Linked DNA regions of Saccharomyces cerevisiae S288C. The protein of the gene in region 1 interacts with the protein of each later gene in a biochemical or structural test. Each region holds a gene or a part of one and is shown in the gene's direction. Other genes may lie near its edges.

What was found.
Region 2: the proteins of ENT2 (region 1) and PIP2 are reported together in a solved structure, tested with the Saccharomyces cerevisiae proteins (one study listed by BioGRID).

Annotation. Positions count from the first base shown.
Region 1 is NC_001144.5:552,865-556,919, forward strand, and holds ENT2 (epsin), read left to right. Parts: upstream 1-1,713; coding exon 1,714-3,555; downstream 3,556-4,055. Other genes in the region: HMX1 (Hmx1p), read right to left, coding at 1-813; ubiquitin ligase complex subunit HRD3, read left to right, coding at 3,924-4,055. UniProt on the Saccharomyces cerevisiae protein: Binds to membranes enriched in phosphatidylinositol 3,5-bisphosphate (PtdIns(3,5)P2) and phosphatidylinositol 4,5-bisphosphate (PtdIns(4,5)P2). Required for endocytosis and localization of actin.
Region 2 is NC_001147.6:1,015,126-1,028,301, reverse strand, and holds PIP2 (oleate-activated transcription factor PIP2), read left to right. Parts: upstream 1-5,089; coding exon 5,090-8,080; downstream 8,081-13,176. Other genes in the region: 40S ribosomal protein eS12 RPS12, read left to right, coding at 1-108; RAD17 (Rad17p), read right to left, coding at 254-1,459; SCP1 (Scp1p), read right to left, coding at 1,693-2,295; YOR365C (putative flavin adenine dinucleotide transporter), read left to right, coding at 2,730-4,841; PRE10 (proteasome core particle subunit alpha 7), read left to right, coding at 9,556-10,422; PRT1 (translation initiation factor eIF3 core subunit b), read left to right, coding at 10,650-12,941. UniProt on the Saccharomyces cerevisiae protein: The PIP2-OAF1 heterodimer acts as a transcriptional activator to induce the transcription of genes encoding proteins involved in fatty acid beta-oxidation, a response called oleic acid induction, when cells grow on fatty acids as sole carbon source.

The DNA of each region.
Region 1 (4,055 bases):
AATACACTTGAAGCTGAACTTGCCCATTAACTCGCGACGATTCAACTCTCCAATTTCTGCAACGATGTTGAAGTTCCAATCAAAAATGCCTTCTGCGACGCTAATGATCTGCAACTTTTGTGCTTCGGTCAATTCCGTCCTGGTGGCCAGCTCATAGTTCTTCTTGTATTCCCATTTCAAGCGTGTTTCTTCAGTGGGACCCAGATCGCTGAAGGTGAAGAAGTTTGTGCCCTTTTTGACCAGTTCCTTCTGTGATAGCTTCTCGAAGTTGGGGAAGAGCCCCAGTCTTCTGTACAAATTCGATCGTATTAGCTTGCCGCCGGCGAAAAGCGCCAAGTACAGAACGTGACAGTAAGAAAGAATGGTGCATGGCTCCTTGTGTATGTTTTCGTGGATGTTATTGATAAACTGCTGTAGTAGCGGTGGCTTCTGGAACGTAGCCAGGAATTCGTTTAATGATTCTGTGCTTTTAAACGTGTTTGAGTATAGCAGCTTCAGGTCCTTATAGATCTGCGTAGATCTTCTAAAATCTTCGAGCCAAAACTGCTTCAGAATGGTCGAAGTTTGCAGCTCCTCCTCCGTTACGGGGTCATTCAGTAGGCGATCTATCTCTTGCTCGATGGCATCGAACACATAATAGTACGCCAGAATACCCTGTCTGTATATAAAGCCATGTCTCATGGCGATGGCCATCTTTATGCCCATGAAGGTATTGATTTTATTGTGGGCATCTCTGGTTTGAAAGTTGATTCTGTTTGCTAGCGCCCCCACGTCAGTGGGTGAGGGTATGATTGTATTGCTACTGTCCTCCATTTTTGCGGTTATTTTATGTGTGTGTGTGTATATATGCTGTGTTATATTGTGCACTGTTAAATAGCTCCTCCTTAGACTAAGCAAGAGAGTATGAGGAGGTTGCTCTTATATACAAACACAAGAGGGCGAGAGGGGCACCTGGCCATTGCTCCATCACACCCAACTCAGGTGTAAATCGTCCTACTTATGAAGGTCATTAGCCCATGTTTGAAACCGTGTGTTACATGGCTCAAATTCCACGGTCCGATAACGCCGACCCCGAGCAGGTGCAAATGGCCAGGCGGTATCGCCAATGATCCGTTTATCTAAAGATAGATAGATGGCCGAACGTGGACTGCCTCTATGGGTACAATAACATATGCACATGGCAACGGGTCTTGGTGCTCAATCGACGGGCACATACACCCTGACTTTCCCCATCATACGACGATGCTCTAGTAAACTTGCACCCGCACCTGTTAGATAAACAAGTGCGCCCAAGATCACAATACCGAAGGGGCGATATCACCACTCAGTATTCTACAGTCGAGCATAGCGTAGTCTGGCAGTATCCCGCACGATCCATTGTATTGTTTGTCCAAACCGCATTTTATGTGTAACGATTAATCGTATATACATGGCCTACAAGAAATTACCCTGCGGCGAAGGGTGAAAAAAAAAGTAGTGGAAACTAAAGAAAGAAGAGTTTAGTTACGGACCCTTTCAAGGATTGACACACTCCCAATATTTTGCTACATTATTGACCTTTGTTGAAGGAGGCGTTCGTTTATTTAATTATTTTGTTCTGTTTTGCCTACAACTGCGAATACGCTCACATTCTAGTTTGACCTTCACAAATTCTTATCATCTTCTTTTGTTTATTTTGACACACCCCTATTAAGTGTATTTGTTTTGTAAGTAATGTCTAAGCAGTTTGTTCGTTCTGCAAAGAACATGATGAAGGGCTACTCATCCACACAAGTGCTTGTGAGAGATGCCACGGCGAACGACTCGAGGACTCCATCGATAGACACTCTCGACGATTTGGCACAGAGATCTTACGATTCGGTGGACTTCTTCGAGATTATGGATATGTTAGACAAGAGGCTGAACGATAAGGGCAAATACTGGAGACACGTTGCCAAATCGCTGACCGTTTTGGACTATCTTGTTCGTTTCGGGAGTGAGAACTGTGTGCTATGGTGCAGAGAGAATTTTTACGTAATTAAGACATTAAGGGAATTCAGACACGAAAATGAGTCCGGATTTGACGAGGGACAAATTATCAGAGTAAAGGCTAAAGAACTCGTCTCTTTGTTGAATGATGAAGAAAGGCTACGCGAAGAGAGGTCTATGAATACAAGAAACAGAAGGGCGAACAGAGCTGCTAGGCCAAGGCCAAGAAGACAAAGAACAAGGAGCAACCCACACGATTCTTCTCCCTCTTACCAGGACGATTTGGAAAAGGCCCTAGAGGAGAGCAGAATTACTGCTCAAGAAGATGAACAACGTAGAAGAGAACTGGCCCAGTACGACGATGAAGATCCTGACTTCCAAGCTGCCTTACAACTAAGTAAAGAAGAAGAGGAGTTGAAGCAATTGCAGGAACTACAGAGATTACAGAAGCAACAACAGTCTCTGTCTCAATTTCAAGCTCCTTTACAACAACAACAACCACAACAACAACCAGCGTACTACGACATTTTCGGTAATCCAATCTCCCAAGATGAATACTTACAGTATCAGTACCAACAGGACCAGGAACAAGCAATGGCTCAGCAAAGATGGCTGGACCAGCAGCAAGAACAACAGCAGCTTGCTGAACAACAATATTTTCAGCAGCAACAACAAGCTGCGGCCGCCGCTTCTGCCTTGCAACAGCAACAAACAGCCGCTAATATGCAACAACAACAACAACAGCCCGCTGATTTTCAACAACCTTTGCCTACAGGTTCTAATAATCCGTTTTCCATGGATAATCTTGAAAGACAAAAGCAGGAGCAACAGCATGCTCAATTGCAAAGACAACAAGAAGAAGCTAGACAACAACAAGAACAATTGAAGCTACAACAATTGCAAAGACAACAACAAGAGGAAGCTCAATTACACCAGAAGAGGCAAGAAGAAGCCCAATTACAACAGCAGCAAGCCCAATTGCTACAACAGCAAGCCCAGTTCCAGCAACAACAACCCTTGAAGCAAACAAGGACTGGGAACCAGTCTATATCGGATAAATACAGCGACTTGAATACCTTGTTAGCAACTGGTACAGGGATAGATACTTTTGGTAACACTGGAGAGGCACGTATTCCTGCACAACATACAAAGACAGGCACATTTATAAATTCTCAGGGTACAGGCTACAAACAGGTTACTAATGAACCCAAGAACAACCCTTTCTTAAGCAACCAATACACTGGTTTACCAAGCACAAATATCGTGCCCACGCAAACAGGGTACGGGTTTGGTAACCAACCTCAAAGTCCTCCTACTAATTCTCCTCAGCAAAATCCTACTGGTATAAGCTACTCTCAGCCACAACAGCAACAACAGCCACAGCAACAACCGCAATACATGCAAAATTTCCAACAACAGCAACCTCAATACGCCCAAAACTTCCAACAACAACCACAATACACTCAAAATTATCAACAACAACCACAATACATTCAACCTCATCAACAACAACAGCAGCAGCAGCAGCAGCAACAGCAGCAACAGGGATATACTCCTGACCAAGGTGTAAGCTTAATTGATCTTTGATACTGTCCTATATATACTTTTTTGTCATGGGTACACATACATGTACGACATATATATATATATATATATATATATTAGCGAGTTTACATTGATGTAGAGCAGTAACTGGAAGAAATAAAAATTTAAACTTAATACTAGGGGGTCCGTCTTCTCGTGGGTACTTCTTTTACAGTTTTCAACTTCTGCTGACTTGTATGCCTTCTTGGCGCTTCTTCGGAAAAGTTGACAGCGGGCTTTACTTTAACGGCAAATCGCAGTAAGTAAGCAAGTAACGAACTCGCACTTCAGCAAAATAAAAAAGAACAATCGATTAGAAATTCAAATTTCACCGTGACTCTTTAACCCCTGCCGAATATTATAAGCAAACTATGATAACACTCTTATTATACCTGTGCGTAATATGTAACGCAATAGTGTTAATAAGGGCTGATTCGATAGCGGACCCTTGGCCTGAAGCGCGACATCTACTAAATACCATAGCTAAGTCCAGAGACCCAATG
Region 2 (13,176 bases), on another chromosome or scaffold:
GAAGGTAACGCCAGAAAGGTTGTCGGTGCCTCCGTTGTTGTTGTCAAGAACTGGGGTGCTGAAACTGATGAATTGTCCATGATCATGGAACACTTCTCCCAACAATAAACGGTGTGATGTTCATTAGTACTTTTTCTAGAGTTAGATCACATAATAATATATAGTTAAACTTTTATTTAATTGTAAGTTATATGTTATAAAATTACCAAATGCTGAATGAAGTTCTGCGTTTTCTGCGATGCTGGATATTGACTTAAAAAAATATAGGAATATCCTTTGTTGGATACTTGCAGTGATTCTCTTCATCCTCACTTTCCCTGTTTTTATTGTTTTCTTCTTCAGATGGTAGTTTAATTTTTTTCCCATTCAATTGCAGCAAGTTGTCATTTGAAGTTTCATTGCCTTTATCTGTACCATATCTTTTTCTTATAGTTGATTTTTTAAAACTATTACGATTGCCAAGTTCATTAGTCTCCATCAGGAGTTCTATTTCTGTCTGTGCTGCCTCATCTATGGATTCTTTTTCTAGCATGCAAACCTCAATTACTATACCGGGATAATCCTTGGGTAGCTGCAGTTGGCGAATACTACCTGGTCGATTATTTGAAGGTCTTGTAGTATCAGTGATAATGACATCGTCTGTTTGACTTAGAATATTTACACTCAATACGCCATGAACATCCATCCTGAAAAGGACTTTGCTTGCAATTTTAGTACTCTTTCTGATTTTATCAAACGAGGTGAAATCGAAGAACCCAATTACAGCAAAACCATCTATTACTGTTGTGGAATCTCCGTCAAATACTTGTAACTTCTCTAGTATGGATCTGTTACTGGGTAATTTTATTTTAGAAAATCCTAGCTGAGATTTAGATATCAGGGCAAATACATTCTCATCATTCGCCTCGGTCTTTGCATATACATAGCACTCTTTGCATCCGATTTCTTTTAGATCCTTTAAGGCTGAATGAAGGGCTTCGCCCTTAATAATTGCCTCAAAGCTTATCCTTTCTCTATCGAGTTCTAGTCCATTAGTATCAAAATCCTTAATTAAGTAGGTAGAGTACTCCACTCTCTCAGAAATGAACGAGTCTTCAAATATTAGTACAAATGGTGATCCATGTCCATCATAAGATAAAGTACACTCAACAATGTCATCCGAATTCCTGTTCATCACGCTAACGCTATCTAAGATATGATTTATTTTTACACAAAGTTTCATGTGATCCTCAGTTTCATTTCTATACGAATAAGACATAAATAGCTCCCGAGATAACAGTAGTTGGATTTTTATCACATGATTATTCTCCCTGACAAATGACAGCCCATCAGCATCAATGAATATAAGCACATCGTCTTTAGAACCAAAAGGTGTTAAACAACTTAAAGCAGTTGTGATATGTTCTAAGTGCACCGTTGAGGCAGAAAACTTGTTCGCTAGCTCACTGTTGATTCGCATAGTTGAAATCCTTCAACTACTTTGTTTCCACACCGTTCTGTGAGATTGATTTGTATAATCACATTTTTACCGGTAACGTTAACTTTTGTTACGCGTCTCTAGCCACCTTAGTGTTTATGTAGGAAAACTTTGATGGAAAACTAAAATATATCAAAGGAACTTTGGTTGCGTATATAGGGTTCTTAAATGTTTATTTATCAATTTCTGCCAGAGAAAGTGTTAATAATAATTCTCTAAACTATATCTCTCCGTTGTCCTAACACCACTCCTTCAGTAGCCTGAGATGCACCTTTCATATAACCGTATTCAAAAGTGCTCCATCCAGTACCATCTTGTAGATGTTTTGGTTTAGACTTAACCGGGGGTCTTGGCTTCTTTGTTGACAGTTGTGGTCCTAGAACTGGAAATCTATCTGTATGTTTTTTGTTGGCGTAACGAGATAGTGACTTCAACGTTTGGAAAACAATGGCAGGATCCTTTTTCTCAAAAAGATCAATTGTCTGAAACAGTTCATCTTCAGGCACACCATATTTTCTCGAAAATGATAAAAATTGGGAAATTTGATCCATTTGAACAAATGGCATTTTAGAGCTCTTCCAACTAATATGGTTAGCTTCTCCTGTGTCTGCTTCATATAAAATATTTGCCAGCTTACATAGGACTGTTCCATCTTTCAAGCATTCCAATAAGTCTCCAGGAGGAGCTATCTCTTTTAGGACAGATTTATATACCCATATTTTGATATTTTGAATTGCTTCCGGTGAAAATTTGCTTTCTCTTAGTTGTCTCAAATCTTCATCTAAGGATGTGACATCTGCCTTCTTATCGTAACTCATCGGTAAACTTTAGCTGTACGCTTACAAAGAAGTCATTTACTTAGACACTACTTATATCTTAGCTTTACTATTTGCGTTTATACTCCTTTTGGAACTCCACGGATGTCCAATTACACGTGATGAATGGGTGTTCAGCATATGTTACAACTATAATGCATGACATGATGAATATGTAGTGGTAATCCATGCTGTATTTTGTTATTACTGTAGCATGGTATTGATGCATTTTTAATTTTTATAATGCTGCTATGGAGCGATCCATATCGACGACAGCTTTAGTTCATGGCGGTCCATTTATATTTTTGTGCCCGAATTACTGACACATTTAAAAAATGATGCAGTGTCAATATTTTGGAAGGATGATGAAGCAAAGTCGTAATGCTATTTTAAATAATATTTAACCTCTCTGATTTATAGATGTAAAGAGAATAAGTATGCTTCCCATTAAAGTCTTCTCTTTATCTCGGATTTTTGTTTTGCTAGCAATCTTCCGACAAATACACGCTATTTCCATTAACAGCTCTACTTTCCAGGTTTCTAACTCTTTTACACTACTGAACAACGCATCGACTCTATTCCCAGTACCATTTGATGCATATACTAAAGAATATCTAAGGACTTCGGCTCTGTTGACTTGTGCTAAAGACTCACAGTTTTCTGCATCGTATTTCGAAGCTGCTTTTTTCCCGAGAAATAATACTCTATTCTTTAATGTTGAAGCACAAACAATTATGAGCGAAAACATAACCATCAAGGCAGAATTGATTGCATATGGTCTCAATGTTTATACCAAAGTTTTTGATCTATGTGGAATCCAAGATAATTTATTATGTCCGTTGAAGCCGGGAAATATAGAACTCATGGGAAGTTATTATGTTGAGGCCGCGGTAGCTAGCCAAATACCAAGCATAACATATAATATACCTGACTTAGACGCATATATTGTGGTGACAGCATACTCCACTATTGATAAAGAATTTACCAAACCTCTAGCATGTGTACAAGTGATGTTATCAAATGGTAGAACAGTCCAAACAGAGTATTTATCGTGGAATCTAGTGATATTGACAATTTCCGGAATTATGTTTTCAGTGGTTTATTCTTTGCAAGGTTATACGGTTACTTCAACAAGACTGGCGTCTTATTCAATATCGCTACTTTTATATTTCCAAAATTTGGCTATTTTAGCTATGATTAGTGTATCATTTTTACCGCCTATTGTCGCCGCTTGGACTCAAAATTTCCAATGGTCAATGGGAATAATAAGGATAAATTTTATGCAGCGGTTATTTGACTGGTATGTTGTCGCAACATCTGGGTCCCCCACCGTTGTATACCGCAATAAAGAAGTTTTATCGATCAGTGTTCAAAAAAGATCCTTGAACAGTAAAATCATATCAGCGTCAAGTAATTTAAATGGTATTGAAAGTTCCCAAAAAAATGATTTATTATACACTTCAAATTTGAGAAATTCAAATGACTATCTGTCAAAAATTTTAGTATTAAGAGGTATTAAAAGGGTGTCTTACAAAGCTGGAATTGAGATATCAAATTTCTTTTTAACGGGATTTTCCTTCTTTATCATATTCATTTGTATGATAATATTGGCGTTTATTATCTTCAAAACATTTTTGAAAGTACTTCAGAAGTTTAAAGTTAAGACAATTAGATATTTACACTTCCACACACATTGGAGTGCACTTTTACAGGGGACACTATATCGAGCGGTGTTCATAATTTATTCTGAGATATCTCTTTTAGCACTTTGGGAGTTCACTCAAACAGACTCAGCAGCTACCTTAGTGGAGGCAATCGTTGTTTTCATTTTGATTACAGTCTTGTTATCATCCGCAAGCGTAAGAATATGGAGGAAGATGATCAAGTCTAAGAAAATATTTGGCCAGCCAAGCTATTTACTCTTCAGTAGCTCGAAATTCTTAAACAAGTTCGGCTTTCTTTCCTCTCAATTTAAGTCTACAAAAGTCTGGTGGTTAATGGCGACCTCTGCACACATGCTTATTAGGTCTATACTAGTGGGTTCTCTACAAGCGCACGGAAAATCTCAATCTATTGGTATCTTTTTGAATGAAGCTATCTATCTCATCCTTTTGTGCTGGATGCAACCTTACATGGATAAAACAACCAACTTCTTCAATATTAGTATCCATTCACTGAATTTAGTGAACGCATTTTTTTTCTTATTTTTCAGTAACTTATTTCAGCAGCCCATAGCTGTGTCTTCTTTTATGGGACTAATTTTCTTTTTTCTAAATGCAGCGTTTTCTTTGTATCTCTTCATTTTCATATTGATATGCTTTACGATGGCAATATACTACAAACACCCTGATACAAGATACAAACCTATTGATGATCAAAGACGATCCTTTTTGAAGGGTGAAATGGATGATGATGCGGTTTACGAATCGGTCCCGGAACTGCACGAAATGAAGAAAGCCGTTCTTGAATGCAACGGTATTCAAAAGCCGCAGATCAATAAGATTGACCTTTGTAAACAAAATTCGAACTGTGAATATCTGTATATGTGAATAAATAAAATCGTGACTAATACGTCCGGTAGGATTTGCCTTCCTGCAAAATTTCTTCTGATTTTGGAATTTGAAAGGTTGTAAGACCATCTCGGAACTAAATATAATCTCCGGAGTATCTCCAACGAAGAAAACATAAAGCGTTGTTAGGACTTAATAGAGGTCAGATAAAGAAAATCTACTGAAACGTATAGAGCGGATGAAATATCACTTTCTGATCTTGCTGAACAAAATTTCTTCGATAAAAGATGTACTTTACAGACGAATCATCACCGGCAATGAATAGAGTAGGTAAAAAAAGGAATAGACTTTCTTTTGTTTGCCAAGCTTGTAGAAAAGCAAAGACGAAGTGTGACCAGGAAAAACCTAGATGTGGCAGATGTACTAAACAAAACCTCTTTTGTATATATGATGTCGCCAGACAGGCGGCCCCTAGGAATCCGAATAAGGATGCCACCATAGCGAGACTGAAAAAGGAGATTCGTTACTGGAGAAATAAAACCGTGGATTTGACTCAAGAAAAGAAAGACTTCTACACTGCATTGAAAAGGCCGACTGAAGAATTAGCTGCTAGAAGGACATGTAAAAGCTTGCAGGAAAATAGCTTTCCAATAAGTCTTTATAAGACTCATCCCAGATTGATTATGACCAAAGTGATGAAAAGAGAAATCAACCCTTTATCTGAGAAGTACTTAATATTTCAAGATACCTTTCTGAAGACATTAATTGCCTCCGTGCTTCTAAGTTGTTCCAGAAACTCCATGATTCCTGCTTTAAATGCAGATATTAGTAGGTCGAGGACACAGCCATGCGTAAAGAATAACGTTGTAAAAATGAGAGAGGTTCTATTGAAAAACTCAAAATACGAATCACAAAGAAAATCCATTAACGAGTTTACGGACAGGCTACTACAGAGAAAGAACCCTGAAGAACAGATTGCGGTAAATAAAGTAATTTCTTTATTATACAGTAACAGGGAATCGTCATATTTAGAGGATACATGCCCCACCGAAAACGACTATTCTGATTTGTTGAAAGGCTACATCAATGAAATCGAGAAAACGCTCCCTCCCAAGGCAATCATTGAACAGTACCTCTCTCATTTCTTTGAGCATATTTTCCACCTAATCCCTTTCGCCAGCAAGGAAATGTTGGAGGAATCAATTCACACAACAGTACAGTATAATGAATTAGGAGAGGTACGACTATCGATGGGCACAACCCTTATACGAAATAAAATGGAGAATCTGTGTATCTTACTGTTAATTTTGAGGATCGCGTATATCTCTTTGACATTTATAGAAGATAAGATTGAAGATTACAGTCCGTATATTACCAAAGAGATGCTAGAGCAATATCCGATTCAAAGCGAAGTAATTTTCCTAGCGCAGCAGATACTTGCATCGGAAAATTGGTGTGCTTGTGCAAATGAAAATACCATTTCATGCTTACTCTATATCTGGTGTGCATTTGTTTTTTCCCCAACTGAGGGTGATTTTCTGTTAGAACAACCGTCGGATGTTATAATTAACCTTGTCATACTAATAGGGACGTCTATCGGATTACATCGTGACCCATCTGACTTTCCAGCCTTGAACCACCCCGAAGCTTCAGACAAAAGGCTGCTAAATTTACGAAGGATACAGTGGCTATCAATTATCTCTATGGCAACTCTGGAGTCAAGCCTGAAGGGTAGACTATTGGTCTCACCCCTTTCAATGATTGATCTTTTCATTGACGTTCGGGATCCCAATTGTGTAGAAATCTATAAAAAAAGGGTTAAGAAGGATCTAACAGGTTCCGAATCGGATGAGCAACTGCTCGAAATCCATGAGATTTTTTTCCATAGGGCTCAATTAGCATTATTCTTGTCTGATTTGAATAATATAACCATTTCATACAGTGGTTCGGTTCCAATGGATACACTAGAAACTTTACGCGTTAAAGCCAATGAACTTTTAAAAAACAAATTTCAGCTAAGAAGTGTGGATATTAACATCTACGACGAAGAGAAGACATTTCAAAAACTAACGTTCAATTCAATTTTGAATTCTATAAGTTTATCGGGCCAGATCTTGGGTAAATTAATGATGTTAAGGGCCTCAATAGCGCTGATGTTATATTTTGAAACACTTGCAATGGAGAGAAGCGAATGCTTATCCTTCTTCTATAAGTATTTTTTTCAATGTTGTGCCGACACCATTTCCCTAATCAGATTTTTTTTCCTGTATTTCAATGGCAGTTACGAGAAAGTTCTTTCTTCTTTAGTTTGTTTCATCACTACAAAAGTTATTCAATTGGCTGTTCCTACCACGATGTTTACCCTTTTGGTCATCATCATGCGGGTAGAGCTGGCCAAAAATATGCTTCTGGTCAAATGTAACGAATGCAATGCCAGAGGTGACATTAGTGACCTCCCAGAAATAAAGGAGAAAATAAAGTCATTGGACACTATCAAGGAGAACTTCGAGAGGCTTTTGTTGGAAGTATATTTACTTGCGTCCCAAAACCTGAGATTTAAATATTTCTACATTTTCAAGATGTTGACCTTGTTTGACGTATTCATTCAAAGGCTGAGGAAAGGTCAATTATTTTCTGGTTTGTTTGTCAAAGTAGACAAAGACTTGACTACCAAAAAAATTGCCACAATGTTGGAGTTGACACTTGGAATTAACTTGGACAAGTCTGACCATTTAATTGATAGACTAAAGGGCAAAAATCTCACTGTTAACTTTACCCTTGATCAATTATACCAAATCATCAAAGAATTTGACAGAATAAAAAACATCGGTGTTGCTGACCCACAAAATTCTCTGAATCCATCAAAACCAAACATGAAAGATAATACACCCACAATTGAACTTTTACTCAACTCCAGCGTGGAAAATGAGAGTGTACCACCGTACAGCAGCTCAAATGACCCTACAAATGTTGGTAATGCCTCCACTTATAGCTTAGCACACAATATTAGTAACCAAAATAATGAGGAAAACATGCCTCCGTCAATTGGTTCGAGTGAAAGTAACCGTGCCGCTCCTAATCTAAACTTTATGCCGATAAACAATAACTACAATAACAGTGGTTCGAACATTAATAACAATGACAATGTTAAGTTACCGAGTAATTTTAAAAACTACTATGACCCTCCCATGTCTTCTTTGGACATATCCATGGATGTTCCCGATATTTTTGGTAGCCTTGATTTCTTCGATTATGACCTACTTTTCCAGAACGACTAGGAAGTCTTTTCCAGTTTTCCTGAGATGTATACGGCCACTTCATTGCGCCTAATACGGTAGAGTGTCGACATAGTTATTCTATCAGGTTGTATCATGACAAGAACTTGTGAGCTTTCCGCTTAGATATGGCTCAAATAATATACTGTAAATTATGGTGCCTTTTGATAGCGCATTGAATTGGGACTGGAAATAATGTCAACTATTGCAGAGATAGAAAAGAAATTCAAGACTTTGTTTTGTATTTTATTTAATATATATATTATACATAAGTTAAAAGCGCAGTATATAAGGTAGGTAATATCGCTGCCATCACGGTAGGAACGCCAGTTTATTCCATTTACAATAGGAAGATCTGAAACTAAAACAACGGCCGTGCTTATAAAGCATTACCAGTATGAAAGTCCTAAACAAGAAGGAAGCACCTCCTCCAAAGACGAACCCACCTTAATTATATAACTTTTAATGTCTAGGTTATAAAACATTGACAGCTCAGACGATAGAAAAACATGTGATACGAATCATTTCGCCGTTGTGTGTTTTAAGAAGAAAAATGTTAATGTTAGCAAGACGAAATCACACGTATAAATAAATATAGCAGCACGACCAGCTTGGAAGTTCAAAAAAAAAAAAAAAGTGAAGATAGACAATCATAGGCACAATTTCTGATGGTAGTGAACATATAATGGGCAGACCAAGCTCTAGCAACTTAATGCAGAGAAAGATTTGAAGCTACCGCCGCGTGTTCAGCGTGACTCTCTATAATAGGCCATTTATGTACAAGATCTTCTGCAATCCTATCAAGTATTCGTACTACTATTTTCCCTGCCAATTAGACGTGATGAAAAATATTGCTGGGCTTTGGTTTGAAAACGACTATTTAAATAAATATTACCTTTCCTTTTCTTCAATTGTTTCTCATCTCCTTCGGCCTCCGTTAAGTATATGTTTTTTTACGCGTTGTCAATGACAATACCGCAGGATGCGAATGTGTGACTTCGTAATCATCGGTGTGAAAAATACTCTAACTTTAAACAAAGGTAACATCTAAACTGTCTGGAAATATGCAGCTATTCCCATGTATACACACTAGAAAGAACAGTATTTCCCAGGTCCCAGAAGTTCTCTGTATATGTAGTCCTACCCGTAATTTACCCTTTGAAGAGATAATCTGAGCACTCAGATTTCGACCCTGATGGGGTCACTTTTCTGAATCATTGCTGACATTGCTTCTGAAAAGTGTTGCCTGTGTCTTTATTCCACTTATGAGTTGGTAAGCTTCCTCACAATTTATAATGGGTTCCGATAGCTAAATCACGTTTAACGAAGATTTCGCCGCCCCTCTAAATCGGTGGCAAAAATAAGAAAGTAAGTGGTAATAGTGGCGGTAGAGGGTTTATTTGGTAGTGCAGTTGTAAAGCTTTCAAACACATTCGAGCGTCGCATCATCAAATTAACAAAAGCATAACTCTTCAGCAATGACATCAATTGGTACTGGTTACGATCTTTCCAATAGTGTTTTTTCCCCCGATGGTAGAAATTTCCAAGTAGAGTATGCCGTCAAAGCAGTCGAAAACGGTACCACATCAATCGGTATAAAGTGTAACGACGGTGTAGTCTTTGCAGTGGAAAAGCTCATTACGTCTAAACTGCTGGTCCCACAAAAAAATGTCAAGATTCAAGTCGTAGACCGTCACATCGGTTGCGTTTATTCAGGTTTGATTCCTGATGGTAGGCACCTGGTTAATCGTGGTCGTGAAGAAGCCGCCAGCTTCAAAAAGCTGTATAAAACGCCCATTCCCATTCCTGCATTTGCAGACCGTTTAGGACAATATGTGCAGGCGCACACTTTATACAACAGTGTTAGACCGTTCGGGGTCAGTACCATCTTTGGTGGTGTAGATAAAAATGGTGCTCATCTTTACATGTTGGAACCAAGTGGCTCTTATTGGGGCTACAAGGGGGCTGCCACTGGGAAAGGTAGGCAATCTGCGAAGGCTGAATTGGAAAAATTAGTTGACCATCATCCAGAAGGTCTTTCAGCAAGAGAGGCCGTTAAACAAGCTGCAAAGATTATCTATTTGGCACACGAGGATAACAAGGAAAAGGATTTTGAATTGGAAATAAGTTGGTGTTCACTGTCGGAAACGAATGGTCTGCACAAGTTCGTTAAGGGCGATCTGCTACAGGAAGCTATCGATTTTGCCCAAAAAGAAATTAACGGCGATGATGACGAGGACGAAGATGACAGTGATAACGTCATGTCCAGTGATGATGAAAATGCTCCAGTGGCTACGAATGCAAACGCTACCACTGACCAAGAGGGTGATATTCACCTAGAATAGGTGACATTCTGATAATACGTTAAGAAGAACCAAAGAGTTGAAATAATATGAACTCACGTGTAACGCCGCGAAACAAAAAATACATTTTAGTACCTTCCATTACATTTTACGTAACTAGATAAACTTCTCATTGTGCACCATCTTATCATTATTACTTGATCGCCTAATACTTTTATTCTTCTGACACCTATTACCCTCCTTTCCATATTTTGGATAGCGGGAAACTAATGAAAAATTTTCTTCCACGCACATTGAAAAATATTTACGAATTATATTTCAATAACATCTCAGTACATAGTATAGTATCTCGCAACACACAGCTCAAAAGGTCAAAGATAATTCAAATGACTACCGAGACTTTCGAAGACATTAAGCTAGAGGACATCCCTGTTGACGACATTGATTTTTCCGACCTGGAAGAACAATACAAGGTCACTGAAGAATTCAATTTCGATCAGTACATCGTCGTTAATGGTGCCCCAGTCATCCCATCCGCCAAAGTTCCTGTTTTGAAAAAGGCTTTGACTTCTTTGTTTTCCAAAGCTGGTAAAGTTGTTAACATGGAATTTCCAATTGATGAAGCCACTGGTAAGACGAAAGGTTTTCTCTTCGTGGAATGTGGCTCAATGAACGATGCTAAAAAAATTATCAAGAGTTTCCACGGTAAAAGACTGGATTTAAAACATCGTTTGTTTCTTTATACTATGAAAGATGTTGAAAGATATAATTCTGACGACTTTGACACCGAATTCAGGGAGCCTGATATGCCTACATTCGTTCCATCTAGTTCCTTAAAATCCTGGTTAATGGACGACAAAGTGAGAGATCAGTTTGTATTACAAGATGACGTGAAGACTAGTGTGTTCTGGAACTCTATGTTCAATGAAGAAGATTCTTTGGTGGAATCTAGAGAGAACTGGTCTACCAATTATGTTAGATTCTCCCCAAAGGGTACCTATTTGTTTTCTTACCATCAACAGGGTGTAACTGCATGGGGTGGTCCAAACTTCGATCGTTTGAGAAGATTCTATCATCCAGATGTAAGAAACTCTTCCGTCTCTCCGAATGAAAAGTACCTGGTCACTTTCTCCACGGAACCAATCATTGTAGAAGAAGATAACGAATTCTCTCCATTTACCAAGAAAAATGAGGGTCATCAATTATGCATCTGGGACATTGCTTCTGGTCTGTTGATGGCAACTTTCCCAGTGATAAAGAGCCCATATCTGAAATGGCCTTTAGTTAGATGGTCTTATAATGATAAATATTGTGCTCGTATGGTTGGAGACAGTTTAATAGTTCACGATGCTACTAAAAACTTCATGCCATTAGAAGCTAAGGCTTTGAAGCCTTCTGGTATTAGAGATTTCTCATTTGCTCCAGAAGGTGTTAAATTACAACCATTCAGAAACGGTGACGAGCCTTCTGTTTTATTGGCTTATTGGACTCCTGAGACTAATAATTCCGCTTGTACTGCTACCATTGCTGAAGTTCCTCGCGGTAGAGTGCTAAAAACCGTTAACTTAGTTCAAGTCTCCAACGTAACTCTGCACTGGCAAAACCAAGCTGAGTTCCTGTGCTTCAATGTCGAACGTCACACAAAGTCTGGTAAGACTCAATTCAGTAATCTACAAATTTGTAGGTTGACTGAAAGAGATATACCAGTTGAAAAGGTTGAATTGAAAGATAGTGTCTTTGAATTCGGTTGGGAACCCCACGGAAATAGATTTGTTACAATTTCTGTTCATGAAGTAGCTGATATGAATTATGCTATCCCAGCAAATACAATCAGATTTTACGCTCCAGAAACTAAAGAAAAGACTGACGTAATTAAAAGATGGAGCTTGGTCAAAGAAATTCCAAAAACTTTTGCCAACACTGTTTCTTGGTCTCCAGCGGGTAGATTTGTGGTTGTAGGTGCTTTAGTGGGTCCAAACATGCGTAGATCAGACCTACAATTTTACGATATGGACTATCCAGGTGAAAAGAATATTAATGACAATAATGATGTTTCAGCTTCTTTGAAAGATGTTGCTCATCCTACCTACTCTGCGGCTACTAATATCACTTGGGATCCATCTGGTAGATACGTTACCGCATGGTCAAGTTCTTTGAAACACAAGGTGGAGCATGGTTACAAAATTTTCAATATTGCTGGTAACTTAGTTAAAGAAGACATCATTGCTGGCTTCAAGAACTTTGCCTGGAGACCAAGGCCAGCTTCCATTTTGTCTAACGCCGAAAGGAAAAAGGTTAGGAAAAACTTGAGGGAATGGTCTGCCCAATTCGAAGAGCAAGATGCAATGGAAGCTGACACCGCCATGAGAGATTTGATTCTACACCAACGTGAATTATTGAAGCAATGGACCGAATATAGAGAAAAAATTGGCCAAGAAATGGAAAAATCTATGAATTTCAAAATCTTTGACGTTCAACCAGAAGATGCCAGCGATGACTTTACCACCATCGAAGAGATAGTTGAAGAAGTTTTGGAAGAAACAAAGGAAAAGGTCGAATAAATTTCATGAACTTACGGGCTTGTATGTAAACTAACAACAATATCTAGTATAAGTATGAGAATTAGTCTAATATTCATAAATACTACAATAGGCTCTATTATCTTTGTAATCTGCAGGGGTCGCTCTCCTCGTACAAAATTATAAAAGGGTCCTGCGTCCTTTTCTAGTTGCACTTTTCTTTTTTTGTTCTCCGAGAATTTCTTTTTACTGGGCACAATTTTTCCTCTTTTCTTTT